Linked DNA regions of Arabidopsis thaliana. The protein of the gene in region 3 interacts with the protein of the main gene of each other region in a pairwise test. Each region holds a gene or a part of one and is shown on either strand. Other genes may lie near its edges.

Region 1 (5,334 bases), on a different chromosome or scaffold from region 3:
GAAAGGACTTTGCAAGACCGCTGGCTACGAACTTTATTAGTTAGATACAACAAATTTATCAATTATCAATCTTAAAAGATAGCTAAAGAAAACGTTACTATGGGCCCTTTTTCTTTCTTTAATTCTTTCATATGGAATCTATTATTAATTAAAGACATGTATTAAAGAATTTCAGGTGTAAAAGAATAGTTTTTTGCTTTGAGGTGTCTATCTTTATTTATAATCGGAAATTTTCAAGTAAAAAGAAATAGACTCTCCAAAGCATAGGTAGAATAATTGAATATTCTTATCAATTAAATCGTCTATAGTAGCCAATTATGATTGCAATCGTTGTGCGAATATAACCAGCATGGTATATATCACAAGTTTTTAGTTAGTGAATTTTTTAGTTATTTCAAGAGCTTGTTCTGTAGAATAAACCAAAAACTAAAAGAAAATCCATTCTATTCAATACCATAACTTCATGTGTTCACGAAACATCATGGGAACACAGTAAATAGAAAAACAAAATCAATTTATAACTATATATGAATGTTGTCAAATGGGAGTTGACCTCCAATATTATCTTTTATACATTTGAAACTTTAATTTTGACTTTTTTTTAGTAAGATAGTTTTTGTTCATGTCCTGAATGTTAGGTAACAGCTAGCGATTTGAAATAGAAATAAACATTTACAAACCATGTAGTGGTCCAAACCATTGACTCAATTAAAGAGTCAACGCATAATCGAATTTGTAATCTGTGAAGAAGAAGACTCGAATGGTATTGAACTTGATTTGATTTGATTCGTTTTGTGAATCGTATCCCGTTAGTCATTGGATTGTGCAGAGAAAACAAATATTGAAGCAACCTCTAATTAAGTCTACAAAGAAATAGGACACCACAACAAAGGTTGACTTTTACAGAATCACAAAGCCAAAACGATAATCTAGAAAGTAGAGAAACTAGACAGCACAAAACGATAAAAGACCGAGTCTGTCGACCATTACCTTAGTTTTTTTTCATATCGTTAAAAAATAATGTGATATACATGTACGTTAATACTTAATATATACTATTTGACTTGAGATAGCCCTACAAAACTTTTATTCATTTATTTCTCACAAGTTCCCTAAAACTTTATGAACCAATTTGAAGATTAATATTTTGTTACGTTGCTATCAATTTCAAATTCTTTGTAGGTGCTATATTTGAAAACTGGTTTCATACCTAAAAAGGTTATGAACCAAAGACTCAACTTGTCTGGTTATAAATAAAAGTGATTGAAAACACTCACACGGCTAGTGAATTCTCATTAGAAAAATGAAAAGTTCGTTAAATTCGACCAGTGATATAAATATATATACGAAAAACATATGATCATTATGCTTTTTGTCAGGTCCTAGAAATAAATATGTGGAACCCAATTCATTTCAACATTCACGGTAATTTAATTTCCCTTGGCAACATTTAGTCATTTACCGGAATATTCAAACTTCGAATGTTAGGAAATATTTAAGAAGGTAATGGTAAAAAGTAAGAAAAAAAGGACTGGGATCAATAAATGAGAAAAATGGAAGTAGTAGTGGGGCTAAAATTTCTCTATCCAAAATAAATGAAACAGGCGCCGACATTAACAACACCATTCCATTTATAACTCTTTATCCAAATTTTTATTTAGCTGAACCCAATTTACTCTTTCTCTTATCTTCCTCTACTTAATTCTTCTAACAAAGCTCTGTTGCAGATGCTTTCTTTAGAAAAAAATTGGGCCAATATTGTTTATTGAAAAGATCAACAACAGACTGGGTTTTGTTTAAGAAAGAATAGTGATTAGAGAACGAGTCGTTGATGTTCTAATTGACTTGCAAGAATGAAAAAAGATACCAAAAAATTCCTCAAAGAGATATTAAAAAGAAAAAACTTTTTAGACACGGAAAAAGAGAGACTTTTCTCAGAGGAAAAAAACAAGAAAAGAGAGAAACCATAGTAAAAAAAAAAAAAAAACTGTCTGTCCAACGATTTGTTTTTGTTTTTTTGTCTCTGTTCTCTCAATTCTTCTTCTTCTTCTTCTACTTCGCCCCCACGACAAGAAATTCTCCTCTCTATTTCTATCTCATTCTTTCTCTCTCTCTCTATAAAATCTTCAACTTCTGGGTTTATTCTTCCACAATCCCTCGAGTTATAATAACTCTCTGCAAAGAGTTTTACTTTGATTCTTCTGTGGAGGATCTTACACAATTTTCATGGCTTCTTGAATCATGTAATCTTTTCCTTCTCGCCATTTTTCATCTCTACCCGGATCCGTAACCAGCTCTCAGACCAGACCCGGGTTATACCATTTCTCCTCCTTAAAAGTCACACCGCGTTGACCTTCTTCCTCTGGTCTCCTCTCCCATTTTCTTTTAAAGAACTTCACAAAGTTTCAATCTTTTACTTTGGTTCCTCTCTCTCTCTCTGTTTATTAGGGTTCTGGGTTCTGTTGATGATGATTCTCTAACTAATGAGGTAGAGTTATAACCCAAAAATAACAAAAGTAGAGTTAAGTCTTTGAAATTTGGTACCAACAATGGCGAGCCAGACGGGTCAGAAAATTCGGTTGGTGAGGTGTCCCAAGTGCTTGAAGATTCTACAGGAAGACGAAGATGTTCCTGTTTATCAGTGCGGTGGTTGTTCCGCCATTCTTCAAGGTAACTTTCTTTCCATTTCGATTTTGCCTCTGATTATAATGTGAACTCTGTCCCTGAATCTGGCTTTGTTCTACTCCTGGTTGTCCATCTGTTTGGATGTCTGAGCTCAAACCAGTTGTGTTTTGTGGCATGATCTCTTTCATTATTAAATTTGGTTGTTGCTTCTTTGATTCAGCGAAAAGGCGGAACATTGCTCCAAGCAGTACACCAAGTGCAGGAGAGACAGAGAGGGCTCAAGCCAATGAGCCGCAAAGCGTACCTGAAACCAACAATGTGTCCAGCAGCTCGGGGCAGGACACGGTTCTGCCGTCATCTCCAGGTCGTTCCGTGGACCAAGAGTATGAGAAAGGTAGGAATGCATCCATGGAGTCTACGGAGAAGGAGCTTGATGACTTAGAGTTATCTAATGGAGATGGGACAAATGAAATTCAAGAGCAGGAATGTTCACTTGGTGATTCTGAGAAGAATGAAAGAGAAGACAACTCCAGATTGGAGTCTCATATGATGAACACCGTAGCAGAAGCTGCAGGATCTGGATCTAGCTCTGGAAGCTTGAGCGTTGATCATGTGGTGGCTGCAAGAGCGAGTAATCCATCCGGTAACTCTGAGATTTCACCGGATGCTTCCCCCGTAGAAGAGAAGCAAAGCCAACTTGACATTCTTGCAAACAAGACTCCTTCTGCTTATGATGTGGTGGCTGCAAGAGCGAGTAATTCATCTGGCAATGCTGAGATCTCACCTGATGCTTCCCCTGTTGAAGAGAAGCAAAGCCAACTTGATTATCCTGCAAACAAGACTTCTTCTGCTTATGATGGGAGTGAGTCTTCCTCTGACGAAAGGGAAGGCCAACTTCTCGATGATGACGAACAATGGAATGCTCTTCAGAAAATAAGATCAGGCAAATTTGAGATGCATAGATACCCTGGGTATAAGGAGCAAGGCGCTAGTTCCTCCTCCCCTTTCTCTGAGAATAGGCGCAATGGGATTACCACATACAACGAGCGGCATCAGAACAGGTCTCTACAGCTAGAGGGACCAGGAGGGCGCCTTGGCAGACAAGGGAGGAGACATGTGACAGAACAACTTCGGCCTGACATGCCTTTCTATCCGAGAGAATCATACACACGTGGAAGCCCTTCCCATCCGTCACATGATGAGTTTGATCGCTATCCCCGTGCACACTCACTTCAAATGCCTTCATACGCTGGAGGCATGAACCACGATTTTGTTGACTATATGTATCACAACAACCCAAGGGCAAGAGGTCAGGGCCAAGGAAGTAGGATCTCAGGTGAAATGGGAAGAAACCATGGCGGTTGGTATTCAGGTCAGCTTCATAATTCTTACAGTTCATATTCTGCAAGTCCACAGAGACCAATGGAACAACCTGAGTATCATCCGAGATGGAGGCGTGAGATAGTCTCAGACGTGGAGGATCATCAGCGTAATAGACATGCTGGCCACCACCATGAGTTACAGACCCGTCGTCTAAGAGAGAGACAACGTGTGGCCAAGCGTCATGTCCGTCCAACAGCTGGTGGGGCACCTTTTGTTAGCTGTTACAGTTGCTCAGAAAACCTGCAGCTTCCTGTAGACTTTCTCATTTTCAAGAGGAAACATCATCTTCTCAGATGCGGCACTTGCACCACTGTTCTCAGATTCTCACTTCAGTCCAGAAATCATTTAGTTCCTGCAGTAACACATGACATAAATGCTAATAGGAATAGCAATTCAACATCAGAGTCTCCCATAGACAAAGCTCCCTCCAAACCTGAAAAGCTGAGATCCTCTGTTCAGGATGAGGAGCTACCTGTGGCTAGAGGCTCTCCGCTTCACCGACTAATGGGATATTCTACTGTAAGCCAAGTCTTTAAAGTTTCACAGCGTCCTCCTTCTATATAGATCTCTGCTTCAGATGAAGCAACGAGAACTATGAACTTCTGAGAATCTGAGATGGAAAGTTTTGCCATTGTTTGCCATTCTTTATTTCACTTCTGTGTATAGGTAAAAGATTTGTCTCTGCACTTTTGTTTAAAGTAGAAACCATGACACTTGTGAAAAATTATACAAAAAAATAGAAGAAGATATAGTTCATCTGTTGTATATAGTCATGATATGTTTGTAACAAGATTGAATTCATCATCGTTCTTGGCTTGATAATCTACTATAACATTACCACTTGTAAATAAATAAAAAGTTTGAATAGGTTTAGTGAAGTATATTTGCATAAACTTAGTTGAAGCTGTCCTTGTATCCATTCGTCCTCTTGTTGGACGCGATAGAGATCCGCTGATCCTGCAGCATGTTCAGGTTTGGGGCTAATAGTCTTGTGTATCGATCGAAGTACAGAAGTTGCTTCAACAGAAGTGCAAACTCTCTCGGGAACTTAAGACCATATGATTCGCTAACACGCACCTATAAGAAAGTGAACTTATTTTCAACTGCTGAAAGCTCAAATCCTGGGGTTTATCTTAACTCAATGCAACTTCTATATCCTCTTAACAACTTTCAAACCAAAAAAAAATCCTTAAGAAATTACGTCTAACTGCTTACCAGGTCGAGGAAAAGAGCATTCATCTGTCTCTCATCCATAACTACGTTAGCAGCAACAGCAGTAGTGTCTGAATTTGTTCCACGAGCTGTAGCCACTACTATCTCTGTATC
Region 2 (5,353 bases), on a different chromosome or scaffold from region 3:
ACACGGTCTCGCCGATCTTCTTCCCCTCACTGCTCCTTCATCCCCCAATCGTCTCGTGGAAGATTCGACGGCACTGGCAAAGTCACCATGGTTTTTAGGTTCAAGATTTTCACCGGCACCAGAGCCTTACTTCGCCTTTATGGATCTTTCACCAGCAGAATCGCCGAGTGTTGAGGAAGTTTCACCATCGCCGTCGTGGGGAGAAGGAGAAGAAGATTTCATCGTAGGCGATGAAGGAGGTCCGTTAGATGGGAGGAATAACGGCTTTTGATGTACACGTGTCGAAATCTCTGTAAAACACCTAGCACGTGTCTTTGACTCTTTGTAAAGTCAAAAGAGTCCTTTCTTCTTCTTTTTTTGGTCAAAAGAGTCCTTTGTTTTTCTTTTTTTGCAAAAAGAGTCCTTCCTTTTGTAGTGAAATTTGAAATGTAACCTCCGGAATTTCTTAATGCAGATTGATTCTGAACCGAATTTAACCGACTTATACCAAATACAATCTTTCAATGAATATGCCAGTGAAGAGACATCTGTCGAGCAAGCGGCAGTAGCCGATGCATGAAAGCTGAGGCTACTACACTAGCAGATAAACAAAACAAATTATATAGCACAAAGGCAAATCTTTCCTAGAAATTACCATAATTCACGTTACAACGCTCCAAAATAGATTTGACCAGTTTTCTAACTCGCAAACTCCACCAAATTTCAAGAACAAACAAACTATATGACTTAGAGAACCTCATGTTTAATATCTTCCTCCACTGCTTCTGCTTTAACTGTATCAGTTGCCACTTCCTCCTTGATGGTTCCATCTCCTCCCTCCTCCAGTAAATCATCCATTATCATTTCATCCTCTCCACCATTGATATCCTCTACTTCATCTTCTTCATCTTCATCTCCTACTCCTCCTCCAGGTATCTTTCTCTTCTTTGGCCCATGCTCCATCCTATGAGTCTCTAATTCCTTGTCCATCGTTTCCTGCAAATTCATACCCTCGTTGTTTGCTTTCCTTGCCTTCCTTGCGTTTTGCCACCTCTCCAGCTCTTTCTCAACATTACCCAGACACTGCTCTTCTATCTCCTTTTGATACTCACTCACTTCTTGTCTCCTTGCTGCCTTCCATTCTAAGAATGTCTGCATCAACACAAAACCAGTCACATCAAATATCCCATAGCATGCATGTCAAAACTTTCTTCATTTACAAACTACAACACCTTACCCGCTCTTTCTGTTGTTCTACCTCACTTGTATCTTCTTCCAAAGGCTTCACTGGTGCATAGTATATCCGTGGCTCTGCTTTAGTCCTGAAACACCCGTCCACATGCAAATCAAATTAAATAAGTTTTGACAGAAACCTTTATATCAGCTACCAATTTCTACCTATAGCACCAAACATTGCCTTTGTATGCACGTGAATGGAAACTTATCTTTGCCTCTATAAAATTGTCAATATGCACACTTTTTGGACCGAAATAAAAAATAACCTGCAAATGAAATACATAGCAGTTAGCAATCTCATCACTGAGACTCATCATGCAGAGTAAGTAAGGGTACGCTATAGAACTAAATCACACGCAGTAACAGCATGTCAACACTACCTTATAAAATTGCTAAGTTTCTTTTGGTGCTCACTCCATTGAAGGAAAAGCAATTCCAATTTCTTTTGTTCTGCTTTAGCAGCAACACGAGCCCGAAGAGTCTGATTGACCAGTTAAATTGAGTATATCAGATCTTTACTACACAAGACTGCCATTTGGAATGGTATGCAAAGAGAAAAAAACTTAAGCTGGCCACTTACAAGATCTCTTCTCCTCTTTTCAGTCAAATTTTCACGCTCCTGCAGCCTCAGTCGTTCACTTTCTTCACGAGCCTTTTCCTCCGCCTATAAGAGTAGGAGGGATACAATGAACAAACACTGCTAATGCATTGTAGTACTAAAGATGATGCTAAGGAATAAACGCACTCCTAACTGGACATATAATGATACCTATACCTATACCCAATTCCAATATAGACACCCATATCTAGAGAGATTTAGGCTTCCCTACAACGCTACTTAAGCCAAAAGAAACTGAAGGAAAATGCTGTCTTAGTTTAAAGTACAAAAATGTACAAAAGAAACTGAAGGAAGATGAAGATTATCAATTCAAGTACAAAAATATGGCGTTTCCCTTAAAAAAACAGTAACAAGCTTCATAAAATATCTCCAAGTGAATATGGTGTGTGCTTACCCTTTGTAGAGCTGCAGTTCGTCGGGCGTATGCATCTGTTCCAGAACGCTGCTTATCTTCTTTTCTGAACTTCTGCAAAAATAAAGAGTGAGAAGTGAGAATACAATAAATTGAATAAAGAATGAAAAATCTAACTGAACATGAATCAAGCTAATCCATGAGACAAGAGGTTCATGTGAATCTCAGCAAATACCTCCAAAGTCCCTAGAAGATTCCCTAGCATTCTTCTGTTCCTATTAACCAGTTTAGGATCCTCATTCTTAGGTAAAACCCTTGGTGCAGGCTCCGGCAATGCAAAAGCTTCGTAACGCTGATAAGAGCAAAATAACAACAACCACTGAGTAAACAGTCGCTTCGTTCTCATAAAAAGGATTTATGGGAGGAATTTGATTTACCTTATTGGTCCGTCGTTGTTCTGCATCTCTCTGGGACCAACTTCCACGATGAAGACCAGATTGCTTCTTGTCACTTTGATCAGAAGTCCCATTCTCACCAACTTTAACCTGGGTTCCATTACCATCAACTGGAAATTCTCCATCTTTACTAACATCTTCACCGTCGACCTAAAGTATCCCGTTAAAGTTAAGTAACCACTTCGTTCGATCTATCAATGAGAATGCAATTACTTTCCGAACACAAATTACCTTAACAACGGCGGAAGACAATCTCCTTTTAGCAGGAGGCTCGTCTTCTACGTCATTCCTCTCCGCCTTCAAAAACACACAATATCCAATAATCAATTACCGCAATCTGTTTCATCTCAAAGGAGAGATAGAGAAGACTTACAGGTCGAGGAAAGCCTCTACGGCCTTGGTTGCGAGGAGCGACGTTTGAGAAGCCTCCACGGCGGAGTCCACGAGGGTCACGAAGCCTCTCCGTAATCTGAACAGGATAGAGAATTAAACAATCGCCGTCAACAGAGATTTGTAAAGTGAGAATGAGATTGAGGTGGAGATAGTACCTCACGCTGTTGACGGTGAAGCTCATCGATCTCATGCCGTAGCTCTTCCGCTGTCTTCTCCAAGGCGGTGTCTCCCATCGTCGCCGTTGCTCAGAAATTTTGCTCGAAACCCTTAGAAGAAGAAACCAAATCTTTTTGTTTATGGGCTTTAAAAGGCTTTTACTTCACTATCCGTCCAACATAACTTCACAAAAGCCACTATGAGAAGAAACCAAAAATCTTAGTTATTAATTGATATAAAATTTAATTTTAATGCAAATTTTCTGAAATTCTATAAATGTTTCTTATATGAAATTTTTTCTTTCAATATTTGAGTTTAAATCAAAAAAATATAAGATAAGAAAATATAATGTGGAAGAAAAACCTAGGTTGCATGAAATCGAAATCACGTGTGTGGAAGCGATTTTTCTAAAAAAAGTTTCATTATAACATTCAAAGTACTACTTCTTCTCTGTTTTTGAGTTGCAACTTTTATTTCTAAATAGGTTCTTCTTGATGAATAATTTTTACATTACAACAAAAATAAACTCACATTAAGAGAAGAAAAGAAAAAAAGAGGAAGCAAAGCTTTATTGCAAGAAATGTTTCACAAGAAAACAGAGTGTATAGTGGTTATCTAGACTGGAAGTTGAGAGTCTTGATGCAAAATGCGAAGATGAAGGCAAAAAAGACAGTGAAGCCAACTAGTACTCCGGCCACAGGTCCCATGTAGTCTGATTCAAAACCATATTGATCTTTAATGTACTGTTTAACAGTGAGGCCAGGTGCACCACCAAGGAGAGCGATGGGAGTCTCAACGTCACCGTATTGAGAAGTGATCAAACCGTATATGGTCCAAGCAACAGGGCAGATCCAGTAATACCAAACCCACCACTTTGGAATTTTGGGTCTAGGGATGAAAAATCCAGAGAAGAGGTTAAAGATACCATAAAAGGCTGATGCAAAGATAGAAGCTACTTGTTGGTTAGGTGTGAGGGAAACTGTCATCATGCCGTAGTAGGTCCAGTAGAGGAAGGAGAAGTAATTGATGAAGATAAACCACAAGAACTTGGAAGCTTTCCACTCGAATCCAACCATAGAGTAGATGATAAGAGAATAGTACGTGGTCTGAATCAAGACATAAGGTAGTTCACAAGTCACCTGGGAGATAGCATAAGGTATAGCTGAGTACATCCCAGCAGCTTTTTCTCTGTAGAACACTGTTCTTTCCACTGCCACCATTGGTTGTACTGTTGAGCAGTTGTTTATACCAACGAATACAACTGCTGCGTAGATTGCTCCGATCACCATCGTTAGATCTTGTACGTTTGATCTCTTACCTCCGATTTGCCAGAAGACAGAGCCGATCATGAGAGATGTTGCCAATGTGAAGATGAACCTGACAAGGTTGTAGTCAGGAGATCTCCAATAAGTCCACCACTGCTTCCATAGACATGATTTGAATTGTCCCCATGTGTTCTGTGAAAACTGTGTGGCAAAGTAGAGATCAGTCGCTCCTTGGGGAGGCACGCTTAGTTCTTGCACCAGCGCCTTGTTCCGCCTGAGACAGAACCATTCATATGTTAATTAGTTAGATCAAGTATCATCATCACATCATTAGCAAATATATTTTTGTTGTGTTCACTTACTGGCATAAGGCTGAAGCCTTATATAGCTCAGCAAAGTCAACTCCAAGCTTTAACTCGGCCGCAAGGGAGCTAGCTTCCAGCATCCAAGTGGCCGGGTTGTATTTTTCCGGAATCTTTGGCACTCCAGGGAAGGATTCAAAGTACTCAACAACCTTGTGAGAGTTTCGGCCTAAGGGACCAGAGTAGATCACATGTCCTCCTCTCTTCATTAGTAGTAGTTCGTCAAAGGCCTCAAAGATATCAATGCTCGGTTGGTGGATGGTGCACACAACAGTTCTCCCTGTGTCCACTGTGTTTCTCACAGCTCTCATAACAATAGCAGCTGCTCTAGCATCCAACCCTGAAGTTGGCTCGTCCATGAAGATGATTGAAGGGTTAGCTACAAGCTCAACAGCGATTGTTAATCTCTTTCTCTGTTCCGTGGAAAGCCCTGTGACCCCCGGTAAACCAACAATTGCATCTCTCAGATCCACCAACTCCACTAACTCCATAACTTGATCCACAAACATCAATTTATCCTCTTTGCTTACTTCCTT
Region 3 (5,371 bases):
TCATACAGGAGCTACTATTGGCTTCAAGTGCCATACTGGACATAGGAGGAGATCTAAATGGATCAAAGCTGTGACAAATGAGTTGGGGCAATTCGTCATCGATCTTCCTTCTCACCTCCACGCGATTCCTGACTTAGACAAGGCTTGTATCATTAAAACACTCTCTGTCCCTAAACCGTATCGATGCTCTTCCAAGATTCACAGAGGTATTCAACTCCTCTCCTCTTCCAACGGCTCTCGTGTCTATACAGCTGGAAATATCACCTTACAAGAGAGCACCATGTAAAAGAGACTGTAAATTAATCTTGCTAGGAAAGATCAGTCCTGACTTTATTTCTATATGGTTCCTTCTCACTTCTTGTGAGAAAGAGAGATAGTCTTTGTAAATCTTGTTCTTCATGCTCTTCTTGTATATAATAAAATTTATGTTTTCTTCAAGCTTGGATCTTCTTGCTACTACAGAGATCATACGATCCTGTAACTGATTATGATATATATATTAGATGCAAAGTTTGTTATGTTAGCCTAACAACCAAGGCAAGACCAAAAAATCTGAGAGAAGACATATATGGTTATGTATGACTTTGAGAGAGAATATGCATGTTTTTGTGTTTAGCTGATTCTGATTTACTTATAGGTTTCCAAGATAATTGCTAACATTCAACTAATTGGTAGGAGAAGAGAGAGGAGTTTTGTGTCATCATCTGGAAACATGGCTTTGCAATCCGATATACATAACACACATACACATCTCTTGATCTTTAGTTTTCACTTTCTTATAATCCATCATCCAATACTCAATATGTACAGTACAACCTAACATTAGACCATATTCTTTAGTATTCAATCCCATAAGCTTCTTCTTCCTCTACTGGCAACGTGGATTGGGTATGCGGCTGCACAACATAGCATAAACATATAAATATCAACTGTCTTGATGTTTGACTATGTATACTTCTCAAAAGACAAAGACAAACAACAAAGGATGTGATGACCAAACCTTCTCGGTAGTTTTGCCTTTCTACATAGTTTTGACTCTTCATTCAACATTGCCAATGCGTTTTCCTTTTCTCTCGCTGCGGCTTCCCTCTTTGCCTTCTTTGTCTCAACTTCAATGGCTTTCGTTAGAGCATCCACCTTCTTCAACAACATCTAAAAACAGAGGTATCTTAAGAGGTTTCATATAGTTGAGGATCTTAAACAACCACAAGAAGATGATGAAGTTACCTTGATTTCTTCATTTTTGGCATTTATAGTACCCTCTTTACTCTCACATAGCTTCCTTAAAGCAATCACTTCCTTCTGAAGCCTGTCATATAAAAACCCTGAAACCATATCTTCAGAATAAACATTTCCATCTTCCTCTGTTTTCCTTTCGCTATCTTCTTCATGTTGATCAGTCAATCCGTTTGCAGTAATCTTTGAATTCTCCATTTCATCACTTTCCCCAACTCTGTCAATTGGCTGATTCATAGCATGGATTCTGCCTGTAACTGAGCCTCTTAGCTGAGAACTAGACCTTTTCTTTGAGCCACCACCACTGGTCAAGAATCCTAAAATCTTGCCAGATTTTTCAGTCTTTGTAGTTGGAGAGACGAAAAACGTGTTTGGGCCCTTCAAGCCATCTTCTATGGTTTTCAGCCTAAGCTTTAACCTCTCCTATAATGTTTACTTGCATTAGAAACTACACTTTTTACCAACAGAATATTAACTACATAAGCAATCACCTTTAGCTGGGACTCAGCCTTAGCGGTTCTCTCGGAAACAGCGAGTTTATCTTTCAATTTCTGCATTTCTCCCTGCACACAGACACAAAGTTCAACACTAATGTTTCCCATATAAGCTAGTCAGTGTGTATTAACTGGATGTGTAAGTGAAAAGCAGTGAGTACATGGAGAATCCTTCTCTCTTCAAGCCATTGCTTTACAGGCATGACTCTATCGTTCTCATCTTTCCACTCGTTAGCAACTGCAAGTGCCACTCTACTTGCTGACACTTTGACTCTGGCTAGCTCTCTCTCTAAGGTTCTCTTCTCATCCTGGTAACGATGAAAAAATCATGTGATTTTCCTTTAAAACAAATGTGAGAATGAAGTACAAGAAACTAAACAGAACACTTGCATTGAGCTGGGAGATTTGGCGGCGATAGTCTCGAACTGCATTGGCGGCTGTTCCTCCTGCCAAGATCGCTTCCTCCAGTTCTACAATGCTTTGGGAGAGCTTCTCAATCTCCAACACTTTCTGGCGGTTAATTTTCTCAAGAAACTTGTTCTCATCCTGGCATATCTCAATCTGTCGTCGAAGTTCAAAGTTATGGTTCTGGACCTCTTCAACAATCAAAGCACGTTCAAGGGCACTTCTCAAGATTCTCTCTGCTTCAAGAAGCGCCGATTCTTTTGATTTTGTTAGACGTTCCAACGCTTTCTTGTCCTCTTGAAGTGCAGAAATCTGTCAAACAGTAGCATGTCAAGAAAATCTGGCACTTCACACTGATACAAGAAAGAAATTTGAAATACATATAGTCTTAAGAACCTCATGCTTGTGAATCTTGATCTGAGATTCAAGAGGAGCTATGATGGATTCTAGGGGTAGAGAGTCATCGTCCTGTTGGTGAGTGTAAACCCTCCTTAGTGCTTCTTCTGCAGCGTCCTGTGCCGCCAATGCATCTTCCTTCTCTTCTTCTAGCTTCTTCCTCTCCAACTCCTACAATCATGTCACAAGCTTAACTTATTCTAGTCATTTCTAATGTTTTGACATGAGTCCTTCACAAAGATGGTCTATAGTATTTGAGCAAAACCTCACCTTTTGGTCAACTTGATTCTCGGTGGCTCCAAGTTTCTCCTCCAACTTCCTCACGTTTTCTCTAAGCTGAAACAACACCAAGTAGCATCAATAGAGCTCAAGAAGCTCAAAAAGGACAGTTTGAATATGGAAAACATTGATCAAAAAAACTTATAGGTAAGATTGACTTAAAGTTTTTGTAGAACAATCACAAACAGAGTTGATGATCATCATGCATGTTACCTCCTTAAAGACTCTGTCTTTGAGCTCTTCATTTGTTCTCAAAGCCTCAACTTCAGCTTTAGCAGCCAAAAGCTCTTTCTCTTTTTCTGCAGAGTGGAATTAAAAGAAAGCAGAACAACCTCAACATCAAGCAAATTACTCATAAGGGTTGATGAACAATAAACAGAAAGAAAAATAAGAACCTTTAAGCTGGCTTTGCAGAGAAGAGGTGTCAGATACAAAAGGGTTTTCTGCTGCAGTCATTTTGTAGTCTCAACGGCTCCTCCTTCTTTGTTGCAGTATAGAAGATGAGTTTTGGTCTAAGCAGAGGAGAAATGGAGTCGTTTAATATATACACACACACTTTCAGAGAGAGAGAGAGGCCATTCCTTAAAGGAATTGACGTTGAAAAAGAGAGAGGGAGAGAGAAAGAGAGAGTTAAAAACTTACTAACTCTTTTTCCTCATTCTCAAGCAACCGTCTCCATTTCAAACCCTTGAGACAGTAACCAACCCTTCCCTCTTCTTCTTTCACTTTCATTACCCATTTACTAAATTCATATTCATCCTCCCTTATCTTTATTTTCAATTCTGAAATGCTTACAAGTTATTGACTTGTTCTGTTTCACTAATTATCTTCTTAGTTACACCGAGCTTGTCCTTAACATTTGGTTCATCATCATAATTACCTCATTCATGTTTTTCATGTTCCAACATTAGTGGTGTAGTTAATATTATTTTAAAGGGACACGGCGTGAAAATACAAAAAATAAAACAGCTACCACAAATGGAAATTAAAATAAAGAGAAGAGAATATAATCCAAAGGAAGTTGGAAGGAGAAGCAGCATATGACAGATATAAAGACACTAATCATAAGGATAAAGATAATTTAAATGATTGAACTAATTTCGTTTGGTGAAAACCCTTTTCTTTCTTTCCTGTTTCTTTATAATAAAAACCTATATTGTATCCCCTTTTTGTCTTTATCGTTTTTGATAAGATTATATGAATGTAGGTAACAACAGATAACAATTATGATAATCTTGAAATAAAACTAAAGCTTAATCATCTTCTAAACATGTATTATCCAAATGATTTTTGTGTTGCAGTTTGATTAATAGAAAGAGTAAGAAAGAAAAGTTGAAAACTTGGAAGAAGGAAAGCAAAGTGTGAAAAGGTGTTGCCTCAGCAATTAATAGCTTAACCGCAAAATATTGCACAAACCAAGCTTTCTTTGTATTAGTGGAAGTCACTCAATATCTCTCTTTGAATTATTAAAAATTAATTGGGATTTTCTCTCTTCTTTGCTTCCAAGTCTTAAGGTTTGGTTATTATTAAATCAAACAATGATAGAGAATTAGACAAAGAACACTTAGCAAGTATAATATAGAATCAACTGAGGTAAATGACCAAATTTGGAGAGAAATTAGGTGAATAACAACAATTAAGTCAATGGCAATATTTTATTTATATGAATATGATTCCCTAACAAAAACTAAAATCATAGATCCAAAATTCTAAACTCTTAACACATAAAAGTAACATGTTAGGGCAAAAAATTACTCTCCTGAATTTTGTTACTGAGTGCAAAATACTCATTAGTATATTGTTATTAAAGGCAATAAAGGAAGCTTGAGCCTTAGAAAAGTAAAGAATAAAATGAAGGCAATGACCTGTACTTGTTCAATCCATGGTTTTGTGGGTTGGTGAGCTCCTTTTTAAGACCTTATCAGAATTCAGAACCCAATCTGACCTGTAGATTTGTCTCATATTTTGTTACCTCACGACCTTTGTTCAGCCGCCAGTTGACTTATACCGGTATATATAGAAGAAGATCATAAAATGACCTAATCAATGTTTTGGTTATATTTCATTACTAGCAACCCACCCACAACCACATGACAATTTACAAGAGAAAAACAACCACCAGGTTTGGTTTGTATACATATATAACTTAGGTTGTGTTACAACTTAAAACATCATTGCACATCCTAAAAAATTTACAGCGACAGATGTGTTTTTGTTGTGCTCTTCTTTATCCACTCAAGTAACCATCATCACTATAACTTACCCAATCTAGTTTGGGTTTGGCTTCCACACGGAACATGTAGCCATGGGTCGTCTCTTCCAGAAGAGGTAGAGCGCTCCTTCATGGCCTCCCAGTTTGTAGTTTTTGTCATAAGCTTTCAGCATCTCACTCGCTGCAAACGCTGCAGATGTGCTGACCGGCCAACCCGTGAACCCAGCCATCATCATTCTGACCCTCCATATCCCCAGTACCTCGTGTCTCTCTACTCTCTCTGACTCCTCACATGCTATCATGTTCACTATGTCTCTTGCTACACAGTGTTGTTCTGCGCTGATTCTCT
Region 4 (4,425 bases), on a different chromosome or scaffold from region 3:
TCCTCGCCAGTTTCAATAGATTCGGTCCTTCTCTCATTATCGCAGCTCCTCCTGTTGGCATCTCAAAGATTTGTTCTTTCGGTGAGTTCCATGTGATCACGTAAAATTCCTCTACTTGTGCTTTACGGAGGAGACCTCCTGTGCTTCCGGCGAAGATTGGTGATGGTGTGTTTGGGTCTAGCTGCGGGGGAGTGAATCCAACTGGAGCTTCTTTCACGGCTGGGGCAGCAGAGGAGGACTCTGTTTTCTCGGCGCGGATGGCGGTTTTGGTGAAGGAGAGAGACTTGGGACGGTGGCTTGATGAGAAGAGGTGGAGTTTCTTGACGGCGGAAGTAGTGGTTGTTATGGCGGGGCTGAAGATTCCGGCGGCTTGAGTTGCCATAGTTTCTTCTGTTTTCTCTGAATCTTTCTCTGTGGAGTAAATGGATAGAGATGAAATGGCTTAATAGAATCTGACAACGAGAGGGTAGATGAGAATCGAACATTTTGGGATAAGGTGATCATACCATTTGGACCAATAAGGTTCCAAGATTCGATTCTCCTCTTACCCTTACTAGATCTTTAGGCCATGTCGTTTTATGAGTTTGGATATGTTTCCCACATGCCACATAAGACTAGACAATCAGGTCAACGTTTTAAATAGACGATAATACAGAGTCAACGTTTTGATACAAAAATAAAAACACAACAAAGCAGAAAACACAGTAAGACTAGCTTTCGCTCTGAGAAGGCATGAGCCGGAGTCTCTCCTCTGAGACCTGTTCACGATTACCACCAAAGAATCTCTCTTCGGCTAGCAAAGACTGTAAGTCGCTTCCGTTGGCTAAGCTATTGAACTCAACGGCTTTAGAAGGCATAGTTGGATAACGTCTTTGACAGAAAGTCATCAGTCTTTTAACTGACTGAAGATACTTGCGAGTGGTTTCATCGTTCATGATGTGAGCAACACTGTTGGTGTAAATCTTCTCTCGAGCTGAACGTTCGTGAATACCAACCATAGTCACTCCAATAGGCCATGGCGCGTTCCCGATAGCTAGTTTGATGTAGTGGTCCATTGCAGCAAGGTAGTCTCGCTTTATGCAGTGGTTAACCATCACCATTAAAGCTTGACGAATGTCAGCTGGTAAACCCTGCAATTTTAAGCCATAACTAGAAAGATCAAGTTCACGAAACCTCATAAAATTTCAGTGTAAGAAAGTATACATTCTTAACACTTATAAGACAAAGACAGAAAGAGAGAAACTTTTTCTGCATTCAACATTCCAGCCTATTTTTCTTCAGCTAAATGGAGATAACTAACAGAGGCCTCAATGGCAAATTCAAGGTGCATACAGATTCCAACTTGCTATTCTACGTTCTCATTGTCTACCTAGCACTAGAACTTATTAGAAAACTCGTCCTTGTCGCCATATAATCAAAAGTACACAAACTAATGGAACCTAAACACTGCACATTGGTCTTCCTACCCAAACTATGCTTAATAAACATAGTTCTCTAAGCTTATTAGATAGAACTGAGATAATCTATCTCCAATTTCATAAACAGAGATAATCTCCCTAACAATTTTCTTGCCAAACAATGATTTACACCTAATTAACAATCGAAAGCAAGAATCTTTACCTTCTTCCTGCATAAGTTGAAGAGAGGAACTAGATACCTAGCACACTGCTTAAAAGTGGCTACCATCTGTTTCCCTTTTGCAGTTCTCCTCTCAGTGTTCTCCATCGCATCAAGCTCCTGTTTCCATTCAATCAACAGCTTCTTATAAAACACAAGGATCTTATCCTCATCGCATAGATCCTCAAAGTTAGCTTTCAAACGTTTCATATCTTTATCAGCATCAACATCACTCGATTCACCACCACTAAGTTCATCTTCCCTTGTTTCACCTCTATCACCTTCGTCTCTTCCTCTCTCATCTCTACTCTTCCTCTTCCTATCTCCCATCATACCACTCTTCTGCCTCTTCTTAAGCTCTGCGATGTCACGCAAGAAATCATTCGTCTGTCCTTCAGTCATATCACTATCAACCTCGAACAATCCTTCCTTCAAAACGTACTTGAGTCGATCGAGCCGCGATTGATCATCTTCTCCGAAGAGAGTCATCGGCTGCTTAAGGAATCTCAAACGACGAATCACTTCCTGCCTCGGGAGAATTAGGTTTTCGTCGGTTAGGGCTTTTGAATCGGCGATAGCAGCAGCGTCCGATGCAGAGGATTTGGAAGACGCAGACGTAGCTGCGTTAGAAGAACCAGGAGCAGAGCCGGATGATTTTCCATCTCCACCGGAAGCGGCGGCGGCGGCTCTCCGCTGAGCCTTAAGCTCGTGCTCGCGTCGTTCTTCCTCTCGAAGCTTCTGGATTTTCTTCTGCTCGATCTCAGACCGCTTGAAGAACTTCTTACCACCAGATTCCTCAGCTAGACTCTTACGTTTCTTCAGAATCTCTTCCCTGAGCAGATCCATCGGAAAGGTTTCTTCAATCGCCGCCGAGGATTTGGTTCTGTTGTCTGAGAAGGTCGCGACGACGGGAGATAATGAAATTTGATCATCTTTTACATGACGTCATCAGTGTTATAGGCCCAAATATAAATGGGCTTTATTAATTTTCTAACTGGGCCATGTATATTGCTTTGTTGTTGTCTCCTCTTTCTTTTTCCAGAGAATCTGACGAAGCTCGAAGGGATTTGAGAAAAAGAAGAGATGACGACGATACGTAGATTCAGCTGCAATGACCTTCTCCGATTCACTTCCGTGAATCTGGACCACCTCACTGAAACAGTAATCTCGTGTTTCTTCTTCTTATTATCTGGTTTCGTCTGATTATTGCTTTGTTTTGCTATGGCGATTTTGTTGATTTTTGTTCGAATTTTGTTTCGTGAAACAGTTCAATATGTCCTTCTACATGACCTATTTAGCGAGATGGCCTGACTATTTTCATGTTGCTGAAGGTCCCGGCAATCGTGTCATGGGTTATAGTAAGTAATCCTCTTGTTCTCTTCGTTTTGATTTCTTTATGTCTTCGTTGGTTTAGGAATTTGAAATTCGTGGAGATTATGTTTACTTTTAGGGTTGAAACTTAGATGATAAACTGTTAGTGTAAAAGCCACTATTGATTTTTTTTGGTTATCAGATGGAGATAGCTTGAATGTTGTTAAAACCAGGAAGAGTGACTCTGTTTGAAAACTGATTAACACAAACCAGGATGTATAAGTGTTTAAACAAATTCTGCTTGTATTAGTCCTAGTCTCTGTAGTTAGCGGTTTTAGAAATCTTGATATGGGGTAGAAGATGCATAGGAAGCATGGCTTAAGATTGTTTGTGCTAACTTCTAAATGTCCAGAGAATGAGTTATGAGTTATATCAAGGCTCAAATTTTTCTGTCTTTCAGTGTTTGTAGTATAATGATGCTATACCTTATTGGATTGGTTCGAAATGTGATTTATACAAGGCTTTATCTTTCTTTATTTTCTTCAAGTACGATATATGCTTCATTATTGACGTTCTGTTCTCGTGGTGCCCTATTACTATACCTGTTTTTCTCCCTTTTCGTGGTATAGTTTGGAAAGAGACCTTGGAAGTATAGTGAAACCATTGAAAGAACTGAGAGTAAAACTAAGCTTTTGGATATTAACACATTTGAAAATTAAGCAGTGTCACTGAAATGTTCTTTTGTATAGTTGAAATGTTATGGTTGATATTCTTGAGAATCCAACGTAAGTGACATATGTAAAACTTGTTCTTATAAATATAATTTTAAAAGCATGTGTCTAACTAAGATTCTACATGGTTTCAGTTATGGGTAAAGTTGAAGGACAGGGTGAATCTTGGCATGGTCATGTGACAGCCGTCACTGTCTCTCCAGAATACCGCAGGCAGCAACTTGCAAAGAAACTGATGAACCTTCTGGAAGATATAAGTGATAAGATGTAAGACTTAACAATTACAAAGCATCTCAAGTTTTAGTGTTCTCTTTGATATGGATCGTTATGATATAAAATATGAAAGCCTTAATATATTGATATTGGCTTTCGAGTGGACCATTTATTTATTTGAAAACCGATATATTTAGATTGTTTCAAAGGAAGAAAATCTTGAATTTCTCCTCATTGATTTTATATATTATCTGGTAATTTCTGGTCTTCTAATGATTATTATACTTGTGGTTATTGATTGCAGTGATAAAGCCTACTTTGTGGATCTTTTTGTAAGAGCTTCCAACACACCAGCCATCAAGATGTATGAAAAGGTAATATATTAGGATTATGAAATTGATTAGAAGCCTCATAATGTTGATGACATTGTAGGAAAAAAAGAAGAAGTTGTAAATGGGACATGCACACATTTTACATATTTCCATTTATTAGTGTCAAATCTCCTTCATAGGCTTCTTCTTGATGGCCATTTTGATGAAACAAACCGTTTCTC

Evidence for each region.
Region 1: the proteins of MAP70-5 (region 3) and AT5G05190 interact in a two-hybrid assay, tested with the Arabidopsis thaliana proteins (one large-scale study listed by BioGRID).
Region 2: the proteins of MAP70-5 (region 3) and AT1G15200 interact in a two-hybrid assay, tested with the Arabidopsis thaliana proteins (one large-scale study listed by BioGRID).
Region 4: the proteins of MAP70-5 (region 3) and AT1G03140 interact in a two-hybrid assay, tested with the Arabidopsis thaliana proteins (one large-scale study listed by BioGRID).

What each region holds. Positions count from the first base shown.
Region 1 is NC_003076.8:1,539,304-1,544,637, forward strand, and holds AT5G05190 (hypothetical protein (DUF3133)), read left to right. Parts: upstream 1-1,914; 5' UTR 1,915-2,549; coding exon 2,550-2,670; intron 2,671-2,845; coding exon 2,846-4,572; 3' UTR 4,573-4,834; downstream 4,835-5,334. Other genes in the region: AT5G05200 (Protein kinase superfamily protein), read right to left, coding at 4,903-5,085, 5,224-5,334. UniProt on the Arabidopsis thaliana protein: Plays a negative role in salicylic acid (SA)-mediated resistance to powdery mildew (e.g. Golovinomyces cichoracearum). May modulate plant immunity by regulating the relocation of EDR1 by interacting with CHC2 and modulating endocytosis.
Region 2 is NC_003070.9:5,227,751-5,233,103, forward strand, and holds AT1G15200 (protein-protein interaction regulator family protein), read right to left. Parts: upstream 3,435-5,353; 5' UTR 3,268-3,434; coding exon 3,190-3,267; intron 3,111-3,189; coding exon 3,015-3,110; intron 2,939-3,014; coding exon 2,873-2,938; intron 2,792-2,872; coding exon 2,624-2,791; intron 2,539-2,623; coding exon 2,422-2,538; intron 2,301-2,421; coding exon 2,229-2,300; intron 1,880-2,228; coding exon 1,796-1,879; intron 1,697-1,795; coding exon 1,596-1,696; intron 1,519-1,595; coding exon 1,378-1,518; intron 1,302-1,377; coding exon 1,217-1,301; intron 1,132-1,216; coding exon 727-1,131; 3' UTR 550-726; downstream 1-549. Other genes in the region: AT1G15190 (Fasciclin-like arabinogalactan family protein), read left to right, coding at 1-271; ABCG35 (pleiotropic drug resistance 7), read right to left, coding at 3,802-4,729, 4,818-5,353.
Region 3 is NC_003075.7:9,656,140-9,661,510, forward strand, and holds MAP70-5 (microtubule-associated proteins 70-5), read right to left. Parts: upstream 3,438-5,371; 5' UTR 3,267-3,437; coding exon 3,206-3,266; intron 3,110-3,205; coding exon 3,024-3,109; intron 2,868-3,023; coding exon 2,802-2,867; intron 2,703-2,801; coding exon 2,532-2,702; intron 2,448-2,531; coding exon 2,121-2,447; intron 2,039-2,120; coding exon 1,892-2,038; intron 1,800-1,891; coding exon 1,728-1,799; intron 1,660-1,727; coding exon 1,228-1,659; intron 1,153-1,227; coding exon 1,001-1,152; intron 897-1,000; coding exon 869-896; 3' UTR 513-868; downstream 1-512. Other genes in the region: AT4G17215 (Pollen Ole e 1 allergen and extensin family protein), read left to right, coding at 9-286; SCL13 (SCARECROW-like 13), read right to left, coding at 5,079-5,371. UniProt on the Arabidopsis thaliana protein: Plant-specific protein that interact with microtubules and regulates microtubule dynamics. May play a role in anisotropic cell expansion and organ growth.
Region 4 is NC_003070.9:753,761-758,185, forward strand, and holds AT1G03140 (splicing factor Prp18 family protein), read right to left. Parts: upstream 2,544-4,425; 5' UTR 2,464-2,543; coding exon 1,621-2,463; intron 1,131-1,620; coding exon 711-1,130; 3' UTR 501-710; downstream 1-500. Other genes in the region: PSAD-2 (photosystem I subunit D-2), read right to left, coding at 1-382; AT1G03150 (Acyl-CoA N-acyltransferases (NAT) superfamily protein), read left to right, coding at 2,701-2,778, 2,885-2,975, 3,794-3,926, 4,177-4,246.